Linked DNA regions of Neurospora crassa OR74A. The protein of the gene in region 2 interacts with the protein of the main gene of each other region in a pairwise test. Links are inferred from orthologs where the notes say so. Each region holds a gene or a part of one and is shown on either strand. Other genes may lie near its edges. The genes, in order: NCU01695 and NCU02256.

Region 1 (8,394 bases), on a different chromosome or scaffold from region 2:
CCAGCACCAGTCTCCAACCCATCAGCGTTACTTGCCATGCTTCGACAATCCGGTCTTCTGTCCGGCACCACTCCCGCTGCTCCCGCTCCCGTAGCAACGGCACCCGCCGCCGCCCCGGCCGCCGCCTGGACCTATACTCTCAAACAGTTCCGCGGCCCACAACTCATCAACCGACTCCACGAAGACCTCGGCCCCCCTTGCACACAGTGCGGCCGGCGGTTCGGCACCGACGAGGAAGGCCGGCGCAAGAAGACAGCGCACATGGACTGGCACTTCCGGGTGCACCAGCGGGTGACGGACGCAGAGCGACGCGGGCAGCACCGGTCCTGGTGGGTGGAGCAGTCAGATTGGGTGAACTCGTTGGAAGCGATTGATTCTGATCACGGTCACCGTTCTGATACTACTGCTGGTGGTGGTGCCGGTGGTTATGGTGGTCGTGGTGGAGGTGTGCCGGGTCAGGATACACTCAACTATGATGATAATGTGGATGAGGATGAGGATGATTACGACCCCGAGGCGAGCTTCAATAATTCTTATAACCCCAACTCTCTGTACCCAGGTGGTGGCATCATGGGTGCTGATCATTCGGGAGGTCATGGTGGCGGGAAAGCCATGCCCGGTCACGGCGGTGGTAGAAAGGGAGGCAAAAGGGGCGGTCTCGACTACATCCCCGTTCCCGAGGATTCTGCCAAAGTCAATAACATGTGCCCCATCTGCCAGGAAAGATTCGAGATGAAGTGGCTTGATGAGGCGCAGGAGTGGGTGTGGATGGACGCCACGAAAGTAGGCGAGAGGGTATATCATGCCAGTTGCCATAAGGAGGTAAATGGCAGTGTTGGTGGCGGTGTTGGGCCTGGAGATGGTGGTGACAATGGATTAATGAGCATGGGCGGGGAGAATGGATTGGGGGGGAGGAAGAGGAAAGCTGAGGTAAGTCTCTAGTTCGTGGCAAGGGTGTAGTTGAGTGCATTGCTAACTTGGATGAAACAGGATGATGCTTACTCAGGGGCCAAGGGAAGGATAAAGTTGGAATATTGAGAGTGCTGCGAGGCGCGAGCCAGTCAGTAAGTGGGAAGGTAGGGCCAAACACGGCTATCAAGGGGAAAAGGAGGCGTAAAGGGATCAAGGGTGGTGGTTGATCGAGTACTGTTGAGCATATGGTCAGCACAAAGCTTGGGTACCCGAAAGATCATCCGAATACAAAAGCGAATCTTCGAAGCACTTTTGAGCTAGTGCTCTATCGTTACTATGCTTTTGCCATCGGTTTGAGGTCAAACGCAAACACCTTGCCAGTGCATTGACTTGCCAGAGTTGTACAAACACAGCGCGATACGTAAGCTGGAGAAGCACAATACCGCCAATGTTAAACACGTTCTCGAAGAGACTTGACCTTGGTCTGGATTTCTGTCATATGCCGTCCGAATGAGAGCAGACACCATCTTCAGTAGTACTTATTCTAGCTCGGACATTGACCACAGTGAATCTGCAAATAGATCGTTATAATATGCAGGATTAGGTTGGACGAGGCGCTTCTCAGCAAGGACTACAGTAGAATACAAGAAGTGTACGTTTGTTCTCACTAAGGTTACCAATTATCATACCGGTTTTCAGAATGGTAAAACCGTCAAGAGACATCTAACGAAAGAGAAGAGATAAAGTATACAGTTGCGGAAGGATCAAAACCATCAAGCAACCCTCTGCTTTGAAGAAGAACCAGATAGGATACACCGGACCTAGAGCAATACCCTACCGCTGCCCCTCTACTAACGTAGTGACCCAGAAAAAAGAATACCAATACGCCGCAAATAACGATAGCCTCCGGCCCCATAGCAGTAACTTTTTTTTTCTCCATGGTTCTTTATCCATCTCAAGGGGTATCTCCTCCCTTAACTGATCCCTCGCCTGTGTGCTCTCTCTTCAGATTCGTCTTCCTCAGCTTTTCCCTGGGCCTTTATCTCCGCGAGCCAGCAGGAACCGAACCCTTCAGTTGTTGGACGTGCTGTTGGATGTGAAGGCATAATTGGGAGGAAAATTGATGCCGTTCGGTCCAACAGTGATGTTTCCAGGCAAGCCCATCACAATCGGGTCATCGTTGGCTGCATTCTTGTCATTCCGATCGCCGCGTCTGTCATCGCCACTGTTATTGCGATGCTTCTCGCGACCATGCCGCCAGCGGTTACCGGCAGGGGGCGGTCCACCTGCGTTCCCAGTAGGATGCTGGGGCTCCTCATCTCGGCGGCTTGACTTGGGGCCATGGTTACCCCCTTTGTCTGTCTGCATACGTCGACTGATGGCTTTTGACGAAACACCTGCGCCAATCTCAATGTCTGGCTCCTCGACAACAAGACCGGTGGTAATAGGTTGGCCACCACTTCCGCCATAGGGTGCCGTCAACATCCATTTCCGGTCGGCTTCGGTGAGCTTATGAATAGGAATGACACTGATCCCAGTCTGGTAGTCACTGCAGTCACGGGGGCCAAAGCCAACACCCCAACGAGTCTACAAAATCGTTAGTTGGCGACCAATAACGAAGATATGAGTCGCAAACTTACCCGCAGCTGGACGTCGGAGCCTCTGTTCTCTTCCATGGCTTTCTTTGCATTCTCAGCATCTTGACGGTAGTACATCTTGACAAAGGCATGTCTTTTCTCTTTGTTGACGATGCACGTTTGTACTTCGCCGTAGCGACCAAAAATGGAGCGGAGTTCGGCTTCGGAACATCTACATGTCTGTCAGTCAATGCACATATAGGCTGGAGAACAGCTTGGCAAACTTACGTCACACCACCGACAAACAGCGTGCGGCTATACACCTTGATGTGACCATTGGGAAGAGTAGGATCGTGTTTGACCCATTTCTCGGAGGGCGGCTCCTGACCCGGGCTCTCATGTCTACGGTTGGGGGGCGACCGTTGTCGGTACTCGGGAATACGCATATCCCGGTCTCTACCACGATCATCCGGATGGCCACGGGGCGGGGTGCTCCGCCCATAATCAAAGCGATCGTTACCGCGGGCTCGAGGCGACCCCCTGACATCCCAGCGCCGCGGCGAGCGTGAGCGAGAGCGACCCCGAGGCCTATTTGGAGACCTCATCCCATCATGATAGCCATTACGATCACGTGATTCATCATGTCTCACGGCCTCCCATGCAGGGGCAGCAGATACACCGCCAGCAGGGGGAGGAGGAGGATAGCCGGCATATAGAGGCTGAGCAACGGACTGGGGAGGTGCTGCCGGGGCGGTGCCACTTGGTTGACCCATCAGCTGCATTACACTGGCAATCTTGTCAAGAGGGATGCCCTGGGCGGCGAGGGCGGCGAACAGCTGAACCGTCGTAGCGGTATTCGCACTAGGGGCTGCTCCTGGCACTTGCACAGGCTGAGCTAGCTGTGCGGCCGGAGCTGGGAAGCCAAATGGCATCGTCGGTGGCATGTTCACCGACTGCCCCGCCGGCTGCGATGCTGATAAGTACGGCATACCCGGGTGCCCCACACCGGGAAGAAATCCGGCTGGCAATGCTCCATTGCTAGGCTGGCCAGAAGTAGCAAACATGGGATGCGGCGTGGAAGAAGTAACAGGAGGAATCTGCGGGACCCCCATTTGTACCGGAGAAGGGGCCACAGCCGCAGTTGCGGCCGGGGCGGGAGCAGGGGCGGCCGCGCTGGAATTACTCTGAGCCGCATTCGCATTCAAGCGGGCAAGATTTGCTAAGGTCTCCAGGATGTTGGACGGCATTACGGCGGTAGTTGTAGGCGTAGGGAGAGGTCTGCTAGTGGCCTGCAAGGAAGCCAGCGGGTTGGGAGGGGGACTGCCTGGTGGTGTTGTCGAGACATCTATCGGCACACGCTACAGTTAGATCAGGCAAACAACGAGCACCGCACACGCGTAAGGGAATATGCTTAGGAGGATCCGGGCAAAACCTACTGTGCTGTTGATGAGCATTCAGCTTCTCCTTGAAGGTGTTGACCATATCGGGAGGAAACGTCTGGCCCTTTTCCCATATGTCGACCAGCTTCTTGATCTTCTCCTACAAGACGATACGGGTGTGAGTTTATGAACAACATGATACTGGACACTAAATACAACCAAAAATGGATGCACGATATGGTCTAGGAAAGTGAAGACGACTGGTGTGGCCTGATCTTACAGCCGCTCCCAAGTGTGCTCGGGGTCTAGTCCGTTTGGCAGAAATGGAGGTATAAGTGTAAGACGGCACATGAGTGTGCGGTTGTGTGCGTACCTTTTGATCCTCGGGGGCCGAAGAGATGATGGCGTTCATGAACATGGGCATTAGTTCAGTCACTCTATGGACACCGGCAGCATAGGTGCCATCCTGTGCACCAAGGGTGACGGGTTGTTCAAGGGCCTTTGCCTTCTCCAACCATTTGCGGGTTACAGAATCTACGACGTATAGGACGCCCAGCTTGTGAGTGTTTGGTGTCTTCTTGTAGTGGGTATATAACTTCTGAACCAGCTGTGATTCGTACTGTCGAAGGATGTGTGGTTAGCTCTGGTGCCTCCATCGTGCATACTGTCGAGCCCAGACACGGCGCTTTTCTTACCTGGACGTTGTTCAAACACAGCATGGTGAGGCTATTGATTTTCGAGCCAGAGACACCGGGCGGTTTCAGGTTTTGCATGTCCCCGAGGCCCTTCTCTAGTTCAGCTACGGCCGCCTGTGACGACAACATGATGGATGATTTTTGTTTGAAAATCGAGCAAGACCAGCTGAAGTCGGCAATCAACTTGGCCGTTGGGCTTGGAAATACAAGCTGCGATGTAGTACGGTTGTGATACGGTGAAGGCTGATTAAAGGTTTTATGCCAATACCATGCTCCTTTGTCACGGGTGGAAAGACGGAGTACGTTGATTAAGGCTCAAACAGGTCGGCATCCAAGGTCTGCTTTCCTTGCTTCTCGACGTATATCACCGAGGTTACGAAGCTGCAATTTGCCCGCGCCACCGGGTACTCAGAAGAGAGCAGCTTGTACGAAGAGACTGTCCTTTCTGTGCGTCTTAAGACAAGCGCAGAAGCCGTAGGCCAGTGCAAAGTCCTAGCAAAAAAAAGAGAAGCCGAGAGGCCAGAGATATATGTTGCTGGCCGGCGTGTGTGCGAGCAAGAATACGGTGGTCCTTTTTATTTTTCTGACGTGACGCGCGAAGTGGAAACCACCAACTGGGGATAGCTGTGACGACGTGCAAGAACCGCAACGAAAGCAGCTGTACGAAGGGCAGACAAGATCAGGACTTGACCTGCGCGGATGTGATCTGGGCGCACCCTTTTACTGTGAGGCTACTAGAAAGTGAGAAAATCCAGGTGAGCGTGTGCTGAGTCGAGATGCATGGACAAATCCTGGGCGACTAGTCGATTACTGGATTGCTGGATTGACGAAGGCGGTCTCCGTTGGCGTTTAAGATTATTTTCGCTGATGACGACAAAAGCGTGATGTGGTGGTGATGCGAGAAGTGAGGAGGGAGTTGGGGTTGGAAAGCGGGGAGAAAGAAAAGTTGTCGTTGCAGAAGTAGAAGAAGTGGACTGGACGGGGGAGTGCCAGTGGTCGGTGGTTGGTGCAGGTATGGGTGGGTACTCGGCTGTAGTGGCTGCCCTGATCTTGACTCTGCTCGAGTCGTCTGTCGGGTTCGATTGCATCCGTTCGTCGCTTCGGTTTGCCTGCCCTGCTGCCTGTGTGCTGTGCTGCTGTGGCACCGTGGCTGTGATGCGTGGCCCGAGGGGAGGAACGAACTGGCAGGCACTTTTTCGAGCCACCCAATCACGCCTTGATTGGTTCGAATGACCCGCCTCGAACTGTTGTGACTGAAGGCTCGGAAAACCTTCTTTTTACAAGCAAACGAAAGCCTTGCAGAGAGGTGTCGGACGTGTTGTGGCCTGACGCACGTACCAAGAGCATGAGGCACTAAGGCAACAAAGCCGAGACGGATTGCGGTAAATTAGGAACCCCAACCGTTGATCCACATCCAACCTGAGATTGGATGAAGCCCTTACTGGAGTCGGTTGCGTGCTCCATCCGACTCTCCATGCAACCCCGAAGGTTCCACGAACATTGATGATGAGCGTTGAGTGTCGAGGACGTGCTAGGGAACAGATTGTGCAGGCGGGTTCATCTATTATCAATCCGTCCATCAATTGGCAATTCCAACATTGTTTTCTGGAAACCCGGAGCAGGAACGTTTCCACACCTGTCAAAAGGGGCGGCTTCCCCGGATGAGTTAGGGATCTCGCAAGGGCCAAGTACATACCTAGGTAGTCCCAAAGGCCCAAAGGGTGCCGTGACGTCAATGCATGCCGGTGTCGACATCGATGCGAGTGAACAAGCAGTTTTGACATCGCGATGTTGAGGTCTGGTCTGACAACCGCTGTCCCTCGAGACACATGCGATTGCAGAGACGCGCACATGATGTCGGTGCCGCAAGTGTTCAGCGTGGTCGTGTCCAGGTATTCTTCCGGTCTTCCGTCGTCGGCCATCCTTTTACCGCGCGCATGGACGGGAGGAGACTTGGGAACCGAAACACACGTGTGGGAGCCGCCCCGCGTTCGATCCTTAGAACGGCGTCAGCGACCCCCTGACCCGCTCGAGCTCGGCAGCTCGGCCAAGCTACCTCCACGTACATCCGGATAGAAACATTGAACCTTTGGCCCGCAGAGTTCCATGTTCAGCTTCATGATCCAAATTGACCACATTCAGGGCCGGATATTGTATCCATCAAAAAACGGAGATTTGGCGCCGGCCTCTACGGTGATTACGGTGTGGGCTTCTCCAGTCTCATACTCGCGGATTCGCGAGGGAAGAGGAGCATCTGCCTGTCTACGAGTCGGCCATTGTGGATCAAGCAGCGTGTCGTGTCACGAGCATCGCGGCCCGGTGTATTGTACAATACAACAACTTCGTGAGAGAACTGGCCCGAACACCCCGGTCCACTGGCCCGAGCAGAGTGGGAGCCCCGCCTATTTGCTCCCGCCCGTGAACATTATTGGATCCAATTGGCACTGGCAATTGCGGGCAATTCGCATCCAGTCGGGGCAGGCCAATCCCCCGGCAGGAGCGACGGGAGCAGAGCCCGCCAAAGCCACCTAACGGACCTCTGGACCTGCCCTGGTTCGCTGGTTGCGACGGCAGGTCAGGCATATTTTCCCACGCATTGCCTGCTCCCCGGCTGCGCTTTTTTTTCAAGCCCGTGCCGCCTTGATTGCTTCAACCTGAACCTTTTCCCTTTCTTCTCTCCTTTCCGTACTGTTCCTTTCTCCTCAACCACACCACATCCCGTCCTCCCACTCAGTAAACCATGGCTCCCGTTATGCGCCTGGGCTCCGCCGCCCTGAGGTCCTCCATCCACCTCACTTCTCGCCAGACTGCCTTCACTGCCGCCAGATGCTACTCTTCCAAGACTCAGGTAAGGCAGTCTCATGAGCCGGGGACACACTGACATCATCCGCTGACCGCGCTTCTTTGGCCGTACTAGACTCTCAAGGAGCGCTTCGCTGAGCTCCTCCCCGAGAACATCGAGAAGATCAAGGCCCTCCGCAAGTAAGCTCTACCTCTGCCTCGGCATAAGCCGTCGATAGCTTCTCGACTCGTCTATCGTGTTGCTGATCTGTCCTGCCAACCTCAGGGAGCACGGTTCCAAGGTCGTCGACAAGGTCACTCTCGACCAGGTCTATGGCGGTGCCCGTGGCATCAAGTGCCTTGTCTGGGAGGGTTCCGTCCTCGACGCCGAGGAGGGTATCCGTTTCCGCGGCAAGACCATCCCCGAGTGCCAGGAACTGCTTCCCAAGGCTCCCGGCGGCAAGGAGCCCCTGCCCGAGGGTACGTTCACACGCCTGCGCGCCTTGCCAGGACCATGCACCGTGAGATATCGTGTTTAAGCGGTCTTGTGTATTGACTTGATACGCAGGTCTCTTCTGGCTTCTCCTGACCGGTGAGGTCCCCTCCGAGCAGCAGGTCCGCGACCTTTCTGCCGAGTGGGCTGCCCGCTCCGATGTCCCCAAGTTCATTGAGGAGCTCATCGACCGCTGCCCCTCTGACCTCCACCCCATGGCTCAGCTCTCCCTCGCTGTCACCGCTCTCGAGCACACCTCTTCCTTCGCCCGTGCCTACGCCAAGGGTATCAACAAGAAGGAGTACTGGGGCTACACCTTTGAGGACTCCATGGACCTCATTGCCAAGCTCCCCACCATTGCTGCCCGCATCTACCAGAACGTCTTCAAGGGCGGCAAGGTCGCTGCTGTCCAGAAGGACAAGGACTACTCCTTCAACTTCGCCAACCAGCTCGGCTTCGGCGACAACAAGGACTTCGTTGAGCTCCTCCGTCTCTACCTCACCATCCACACCGATCACGAGGGTGGCAACGTCTCTGCCCACACCACTCACCTTGTC
Region 2 (8,482 bases):
TTGATTCGGTTGTTGTGCCAGGGTTGTATGTTGCCGTATCTGTCGAGCTGCCGAAGGTGCGGTCCCATTACGCGGGCCCAGCGGAAATCTCGTGAGGGGTTCTGTGTCGCTTCTAGGATGCGCTTGCGCTCGAGCCAGATGATTTCTTGAAACTTGTTTTCAATTTCTGTAAAACGTGAAAGGCCCTGTTAGTGTATGTGTCTTGGGAAAAAAAGTGAGAGCGCCAAAAGGCGAGCCATAGAGCTTACCAGACTCGCTTAATTCCAGGAAAGAGGGCATCTTGGGTCGGCCATCTTTCTTGAGCTGTTGCCCTGACGACGTCTTGCTCTCGGCTGGCGAAGCAGGGTGGTCTGCGGTACCGTTGGAAGCCATAACGGCGGCGACAGTCGGTGTCTGTTTGTGCGAAGCGGGAGAGGACTCGCGGGCCCTCTTGGACGAACGTGAAAATACTCGAAAGGGACGGAGCTTATGGACTGAGCGTAGCGAAGGAGTGGCGGTGGGGGTTGTTAGTTCAGCCGAAGGAGACTCGGTTTTCTCAGAAGTACTTTCTGACTTGGTGGTAGTAGGTGTGGTGATCAAACTGGGAGCGGTGATGTCTCGTTTGCGCCGATGCGGGCGTAGTCGCGGAAAGTGGTCCATGGTGGGGACGCTATAAATATGACGTCGGCGAGGAACGGTGTAATTCGACGTGCAAATCGGTTGACGGTGCCAGAGGCTACTGCGGTGACCGAGTCTGGCAAGTGAGAGAGGCTTCTGACGAGGGCACAGGCGGCCTCGGGGACTCTGCCACGCAGACACGTCAAGGTCGGGTCCACTGTGGTGCTTGGAGGGCAAAACGAAGGTGGGATCCTGTAAGGCTGTTTGACGGATGGGATGGAATGGCACGATGAGCAATACTAGGACTAAGTGAATGGCTCTTGTTTGTTGGAAAGACGAGGCTGTCCAGCGGCGATCTTCAAGGCTGGTATCGTGGTACTTGGTGAGCGGGAGAGGGAAGCTTGAGGAGGGCGGTAGTTATATCGGTTTTGCGCCGCAATATTCAAAGGCGGCGCATGGGAAAAACACAAACAAGAAGGTGTAAGAGTACCTCTCTAGTAAGTCAAGAACCGACAATGCCGATCTTGCCAAAGCGGGTGGGGCGCCAAAAGTATTCCGCCTTTGTTTCGCCGGCGACGGAGTGACAATCAAATTGTTCAGTTTCCAGGGAAAAAGACGCAGTGAGGCAGCTGGACACCTCCAGTTTGTCAAATGGACGGGACCGTGAGTTCAAGTCCAGCATGGAACAAATGACGACCAAGCTGAGCGTCGCAACTGCCTGTTATGGTCAGATGGCATCTGATGTTAGTGGAGGGACCCTACTTAGAATGGCTCGCGCTGAGCTTCCCGTCCTTGCTCCGTCCCGGGCCCCCCTGCGAGCTGTACCCGCCCTGCCGAGAGGGTTGGACACCAACTGCAGGGTAGGCAGGGGTACCCCCCCTTGACCTCTGACCAAAAGACGAGAAGAGGTCGAAACCCTGTAGACCAGGGCGACATGAAAAAAGAAACGAGAACGGCACTGCAACCGAACGAAGCAAGGCTAGAATCCTCAACAAGCCCCGTCATAGACGAACCCTGCCTCATTTCCCGAATGACACCACAGCACCATCATCAATGACCGCCATCCATATCTCTGGTCTCTCCAATCCTGGGCGACTAGCAGGCATGGCATGGCATGCTCAGCAGGAACTGCCTGGGTTGCCTCACCATGTATCAGCAAGGCCGCTCATCTGTCCGGCAAGGTACCTATTTAGAATGAATCCTGCAATGCCCACGCGACATGCCGCAACAGGAATCCTTGTCTGCGCCCCTGGGTTGCAGCAGCATGCCAGCATCGGATAGGTAGAGCTTTGAGCTACATACCTATCTTGGGCAGCATAAGATCCTAGACGAGAAAAGCAGGACGACATACCTACCGCTGGTGGCGCTTCGATCGTTTCTGGTGTGTCGATGTCGCCTTAGGCTGTAGATAGTTGTGGTGGTATGTATGTATGTATGTATGTATGTATGTATGCATGTATGTGTGTAGATAGGTAGGTATATTCTCGGAATACTACAGTATCATTCCATGACTTGCCAAATGCCAAAATGGAGATATATACGCCTTGATCATGAAACGAAACGCCTGCCACGAGATCTCAAAAAGGTGTTGGTAGGTTACATTGGTCTGTCAACTGGCTCTCATGACCGCCGCGCGGATCCCCTCCACCTCGTGGTACCTCGTGATACCATCAGATAGAAAATGAAAATTGAGTCTAATACCAGTAATCAGCTTGGGCAAACTGTAGTGTAGGTGCAAGTTGATTGTGTGAGGTCAAACATGCAGGATATATAAAGACATAAATACTCACACCGGTCGAGACTCTGTATAATTTGATGCAAGGTTTCTGTGGCTCAGCGTTTTGTAGAACAGGATGAAAACTCGACGTCTCTTGGCCGTCATCAGTTATTGCTTGGTATCTATGTCTCTACCATAAGCCATCTCTTTCTCTTCTCCTGTCGCATATACTAAAACGCACCGCGATAATAATAGTCCAAGTAAAAAAAATAAGTGGCATCAATGGCCAACACAGCACTGATCGTTCCATAATCTATCCTATTTGCCCTCCATCTTCCTCATCCGCCGGCTCCTCACTTCTTAAAGGTAGCCGTCCTGCCAGCCGCCTTGGCCGTGTAATGCGCTCTTGCGCCCTTGGGTCCTCCCTGAGACTTGTTTTCATACGGGTTAAACCTCTTATTCGCCTTCTTGACGTCCTCCTGAGTCTTGCGAGCACGCAACACCGACGCAGCCTGAGAGTAATCAAACGGCTGATCTTCCTTCTCCTCGCCCTCCGCCTGCTTAGCGGCAGCAGCAGCTTCTTCCTGCGCCTTCTTCTTTGCTTCCTTCTTGGCGGCCTTCTCTGCCCTTCGCTGGGCCTTGAGAGCTTCCTTGGCCTGCTTCTTCTTCTCCTTGGCCGCTTTCCTGGCTGCCTTTTTGGATTTCTTGGATGACTTGTCGCTTGCCTCTTCCTCCTCCTCCTCTTCTTCCTCGTCGGAGTCGTCACCTTCGGCTTCACCACCGGTTTGCACGTCGGTTTCGGTCTGAGGCGCGGAATCCTCCATTTCGGCATCTGAGGCCTCCTCTTCTTCCTCAGACTCTTCCTCGCGCTTGCGCTTGCCTCCGTTCCTAAGAGTGAATTCCTGGTTGACTATCACCTCTTCCGGCGCCGGCTGGGGCTCTGGCACCGCCTCTTCTGGTTGATCCACCTCCATCTCAGCCGTAGATCCGTCCATGAAGTCGGCCGGATACGGAAGGGTGATTTCCAACACGTCGTCAAGCTTGGCAGTCTTCGCAGCCGTGCCGTCCCAGACTGAGCTCAGAGTGACGCCGCCCCAAAATTGTGACCGGTCAGCTTTGAGCTCCTTGACGTCCGGAATGTCGCTATCGTCGGCGATGACCGCAGCAATCTTGGCGGGGGCGAGGATAGATGACTCGCTCTTGAAGATATCCATCATCTTGGGACCGTTCACACCTTCCTCCCTAGCCTTTTGAATGACGTCGAATAGATCATCCAAATGAGACTTGAGGCCCTTGGCGTTGCTATCCAGAATACTCCACAGAGCCTTCTTGTCGGTCGGGAGTATCCGGGCAATGTCGGCCAGAACCTGCTGTGTCATAAAGAAGAAGGGACTCTCGTCCTCACGACGAGCCAAGTTGTCACGCCATTGATGTACGGCCTTGTAGACGGCAAACTGCTCGCCGTTGTAGAGCGTTGGGGACTTCAACAGCACATTATACCACCCGCGGGGTCCCTGGCCGGTTTCGACGTTGTAGCTAAGGTTCTCGTATCGTTGCAGGGCGACATCCTTGGACCTCTCGAGGACCTGCTCGAGAAGGTCAGGCTTCGGCTTTCCGGGTGTTGAGCGCTCCACGAGCTCGTTGATGATCATGTCGAAGATGTAGAGCAGGTAGTGGGTATCCGACCGCGCATAGTAAAACATCTCCTCGGGGAGAGGTCTGATGCGCCAGTCCGCAAGCTGATACTTTTTGTCGGCTTCGAACTCGGCAAACTTGCTAAGCAAATAACCCAAGCTCCTTCCAGGGTACCCGAGAACGGCGCAAGCATGATATGTGTCGAAGAGACCTACAACGTAGAGACCAAGATCTCTCTGCAGCCAGATGACATCCATGAAAGCACCGTGAAGAACCTGGGTCAAGTTAGTCGATAATACAGTGAAAGCAGAAGGCCAGGATGTGTCTCACCTTGACAATGTTGGGGTTCGCAAAAACCTCATTCAGAACCTCAAGCTTGTGCCTCCAAGGTTGAAGAGTATCAATGACCCAATCCTTCTCTCTGGTACTGATCTGCATGAGAGACAACAGTCCGGTGTAAGACCTAAAATCGTGGTGCTCCAGATCAAGCGCAATTTCCTTGGCCTGCTTGAGCTCCTCCAACATCTCCAAGACGCCCTCATAAGTATCAACCCAGATGGCGGATGTCGAATCGATAGGAAGGTACTCCTTGGGTTCGCGCTTCTTGTACACATGCTCAGGGTACGGTGTCGTCTTGATCTCGGTTTCGTAGGGGTGTTTGTATCTGGGAGATTCATGTTAGCGACATGCTCTTATGATATTGGAAAGAAAGGTTAGACGTACTGTGTGTTGTTGTCATCATCGACAAAGGTGGTCAGGCTGTCTTCCAGTGACACCTTGGCATGAGGCTTGGACGACAACAGAGGCTTCCAAGGACCGGTAGCGAAGTTATCGACCTTCTTCTCGAAGTTATTCTGTGGTTTGAGAATGTTGGCTCTCTTCAAGGACCAGTCAAGACGATCGTTAGACGACTTGACGCGTTTTTGGGCGCGGCCCTGGTCGGCGGGGGTAGGCGCATCCTTCCGCTTGATCAATCCGGTGTACTCGTCGAGGCAGGTGTCGGCTTTCTCGAGCAACGAGTCGATCACGTCGACAATGTTCCGCCATTGGATGTCCACGTCGTCGGCATCTTCAAGAGCGCCAACCTTCTGGCCGGTAAGATTCGCGGTCGACTTGAGGAGCCCGTTGGCCAGGGACAGAAGGCGGCCGGAGCTGTTGTCGAGTTGACCACCGACAGTCGGGTTGACGGTGCGCTGGAACTGAAGATCCTCGCTGGCGATTGAGTTGGCGGTTCGGGTCGTAGCGACCAGGGCGGCTTGGAGCGATTCCCTCAAGCTCTTGAAGTCCAGTGAGCCGTCCATATTGGCCGGTGGTTCTGGAGTCGTTGTGGTGTGGACGTCACTGGAAGTGGAAGCCCGGTTCAATTTTCCAAAAATGGTTTGTCGTTCTGCTGCTCTTTGGGAACTTTTTTTGCGGACAGTCCCAGCATGTGGCTTGTGGAGAAAGCGCCAAAGTGAACGGGACCTCGAAAAGTGGAAGCTGCCCGATGGATGCCATCAAGTGGGCCTCGAGTGAGCTGTTCCCGCTCTGCGCTGGTAGAGGTACCTGATGGCCCATGCTGGGAAGTAGAAGCACTAAAGTAGAGAGACTTTGGGCAGCCGATTACATAAGGCCAAGGGGGCGCTTGCCAAGAGCCAAGATTGTGCTGATCTGGACCACCAACGTTCGTTCATCCATCGGCGTCCAGGCTTTTGAGATCCGTCCTGTGACGAAGTGGAAGTCCGCAACCCCATTGTTGAATAGCACCTGGTACTTGTTGGTTTCCAAGCGGACTCACCGGTGAACGTTGATATTTGAGATTCCGTACAACCGTCTTTTCCACCAAAAATATTCACCTGGAGTATCTCACGAACACCCTTCTATACGATCTTTTGCCCAAAACATAGATATACCGTCGATACCCATAAGTCATCGGACACCGTACCAAGCCTATCGTTTTGTTGGCAACACCTACGGTTGAAAACATAGCTCTGGACTTTAAAGATGTCCCAGTCACTCGCCAAGGAATGCAACGAGGCCAAGGAGTAAGTTTTTGTCCTTCATACGGAAAGAAAACAACATCTTAACCAGTTGTAGACGTTACGACACTTGCTTTCTCAAATGGTACAGTGAGAGTAAGTCTACAGGAACAGACACCCCAACTCAGTGGACATGTGTGATACTTATACTGGACAGAATACCTTAGGGGCAATGGTACCGAACAAAATAACGAATGTTCAATTCTCTTCAAGGAGTATAGCTCTTGCCTGCAGGTAGGACGCAAAACCATACAGCGCCCGTACTCTAGCATCGAGATAGCTTACCATATGGCATTTTACAGGTTGCTTTGAAAGAGCGTGGCATCGACAAGCTGCTTGAAGAGGCGCGGGAAGAACTCAAGGACAGCGACTCAACATACATGGGCAAGAAAAAATGTGAGTTTGAGCTTACGAACATGGCCAAAGTTGAAAGGATGACTGACTTGCTCAGAATACCAGAGCTGGACGACGTCTGAGTACCTTACTGTACCACTCGTCGACCAACTCCTTGAACAAAGCCGCAACAATCCAGTTATTCTCCTTACATTGCTCAATTATCTCTTCTCCGTATATATCATATATCGCCTGGTATTCGTGGAAGGACTTTCCATTATGCACACCCTCCATGTCTTGAACAAAGCCCATGTACCAAAAGTGTCACCCGCTGGTCTTTGACTGTACCTTTCTGATTATATCTTCTGTTGAGTTGTTTTCAGTGCTCTCTGTTATGGACGGAAGCCATGGATGACTTCAAGTCGGTTGAATGTTCCCCTTCCAAATAAGGTTTCCCGTCCTTGAGAAGTGGATCCTCCCCAACATCCAATCGGTTCATTACAGAGTGCCGTGCAGTCGCAGCCAGGTCGGGTTGCGCTCGGGGACTCTGGCTTCTGGGCGCTAGAACTTAGAACGCTCCACACTCCCTGTAATACTGCCTAAACTGCTTCGATAAACTTCAGCGCGAGTCTGAGCCGAGTCTGTCCACCACGACACGACACATAACGCATCTGATCGCCCTGCTCCCCCGTCCCCGTCCCAAATCAACAAGTTTTCGGCTTCCCGTTGTGCTTCCCGTCAGTACCAGCTTTGCCCGACTTCGACCTACCTAATCCAACCTCTTCGAACCGTCGAGTATTGTTTTCCCCCTCCCATTACAGCGCCCGCCAATTCCTCATATAACCGCACCCACTATCCGCCCGCATTTCCTCTCCCCACACAAGGGAAAGTGACATCGGACTACAGCATCTACCGGCCCAGACTTTTGCCGCGATCGCATGCTCGAACAGTAAGGGGCAGCGCGCCTCTATGCACCCCTTTTCTGTTCTTACACTCGGCATCTTCGTAGCTGGGTATATCACCGCCCGATGGGACCTCGTCACTCGCCTATATGAGCTTGCCATATTCGCTTGGAACTACGGAGTGGTGGTAAGTGTCACATGCCATGGGAAAGAGGGAAAAACTGTGGCACTCCGCCCCCGGCCAACCACCATTGCGCCGAAACAGCAACAGCCTGGATCGCTAACCTTGTGTGTCAATTCGTCTCTAGACTCGGGCCGCCAAGGGCTTCGGCGTGTTAAGCCTTGTGTTTCTCATCGTCTTTATTCCTGTGCAACGTCTTGCTACTTTGGAGTCGAACCTGGTACGACCACCACCACCAGCTTGCTGCTGCTGCCCCCAACCAACAGTCGATATGCGAATCCCATATACTGATAATGCTGGTCCAGCATCCGCGATCGCCAGGATCAGGTATCTCCGCGAGGGAACAACTAAGGAGAAGGGGCTCTTTCTGATTGGTTGCTTGCGATTGCGCTATCTGTCATGCCAGAGGATGATGGCTTGATGCGCGTGTTCTGGCCCACAGACCTTCCGCGATCCGACTGTAACGGCGTCGTGGTCGGCTGGAGGAACTCGGCCTTGGATGTTCTCGTGGTGGCAGTACTGGAGGAGGTTGAGGTTTGTGCCCTCCGGGTCTACAGCTGGCCGGGGATGGATGTGGACAAAAGCGCTGACTCTGTGATAGCCTCGACGTGTTGAAAGCGCGTTAAAGCTCGGTAACCTTCTCCGTAACGCCCCTCACCCAGTCAGCCGCATCTACGAACAATGCGGCAAATCGTCCATAAGCGTCTTGGGCGTCTCAAACACTCCAGACACCGTCGAGGTCGACTCATCATGGATCCGGGTTACGATAGCGCCTAAACAGCGTGTGCCTTCTGTCACCTGTGCTCGAGCGTCTAGTATCCAGATTATCCTTTTCGAGCGGCCTCTGCCAGGACGAATGCAGTACATGTCACTTAATCCGATTGCCTTGGCACTGGGAGACAAACACGATGGATTTAAGCAAGATTTCGCCGACAGTGGGGAGGAGGACGACGAGAAGCGGGAGCGTTTGAGCAAGGAAACGAAGCGAAAACTGGTCGAGAAGCTCAAACAACATTCGGTGATAAAGCGAATTCCGTCGCCCAAAGAACGAGCGCTTGCCACAATAGTCAACCAAATCAATTGGGCATGGGAGCTCGAA

The links.
Region 1: the proteins of NCU02256 (region 2) and NCU01695 interact in binary tests that used the Saccharomyces cerevisiae proteins (3 or more experiments, as listed by UniProt). The link is inferred for Neurospora crassa OR74A from reciprocal best matches to the Saccharomyces cerevisiae genes RRP6 and NRD1.

The regions. Positions count from the first base shown.
Region 1 is NC_026502.1:2,697,501-2,705,894, forward strand, and holds NCU01695 (RNA binding protein Nrd1), read right to left. Parts: upstream 5,656-8,394; 5' UTR 4,693-5,655; coding exon 4,564-4,692; intron 4,488-4,563; coding exon 4,242-4,487; intron 4,029-4,241; coding exon 3,926-4,028; intron 3,835-3,925; coding exon 2,778-3,834; intron 2,722-2,777; coding exon 2,553-2,721; intron 2,500-2,552; coding exon 1,984-2,499; 3' UTR 1,557-1,983; downstream 1-1,556. Other genes in the region: NCU01696 (mRNA cleavage factor complex component Pcf11), read left to right, coding at 1-930, 991-1,038; cit-1 (mitochondrial citrate synthase), read left to right, coding at 7,304-7,411, 7,481-7,545, 7,631-7,824, 7,913-8,394. UniProt on the Saccharomyces cerevisiae protein: Plays a role in sequence-specific regulation of nuclear pre-mRNA abundance.
Region 2 is NC_026507.1:3,160,329-3,168,810, forward strand, and holds NCU02256 (exosome complex exonuclease Rrp6), read right to left. Parts: upstream 5,384-8,482; 5' UTR 5,251-5,383; coding exon 4,673-5,250; intron 4,614-4,672; coding exon 4,280-4,613; intron 4,225-4,279; coding exon 2,668-4,224; 3' UTR 2,420-2,667; downstream 1-2,419. Other genes in the region: NCU02257 (protein-tyrosine phosphatase 2), read right to left, coding at 1-166, 249-639; NCU17251 (hypothetical protein), read left to right, coding at 5,933-5,973, 6,026-6,063, 6,125-6,201, 6,270-6,363, 6,419-6,420; NCU02255 (N-acetylglucosaminyl transferase component Gpi1), read left to right, coding at 7,783-7,917, 7,985-8,482. UniProt on the Saccharomyces cerevisiae protein: Nuclear-specific catalytic component of the RNA exosome complex which has 3'->5' exoribonuclease activity and participates in a multitude of cellular RNA processing and degradation events.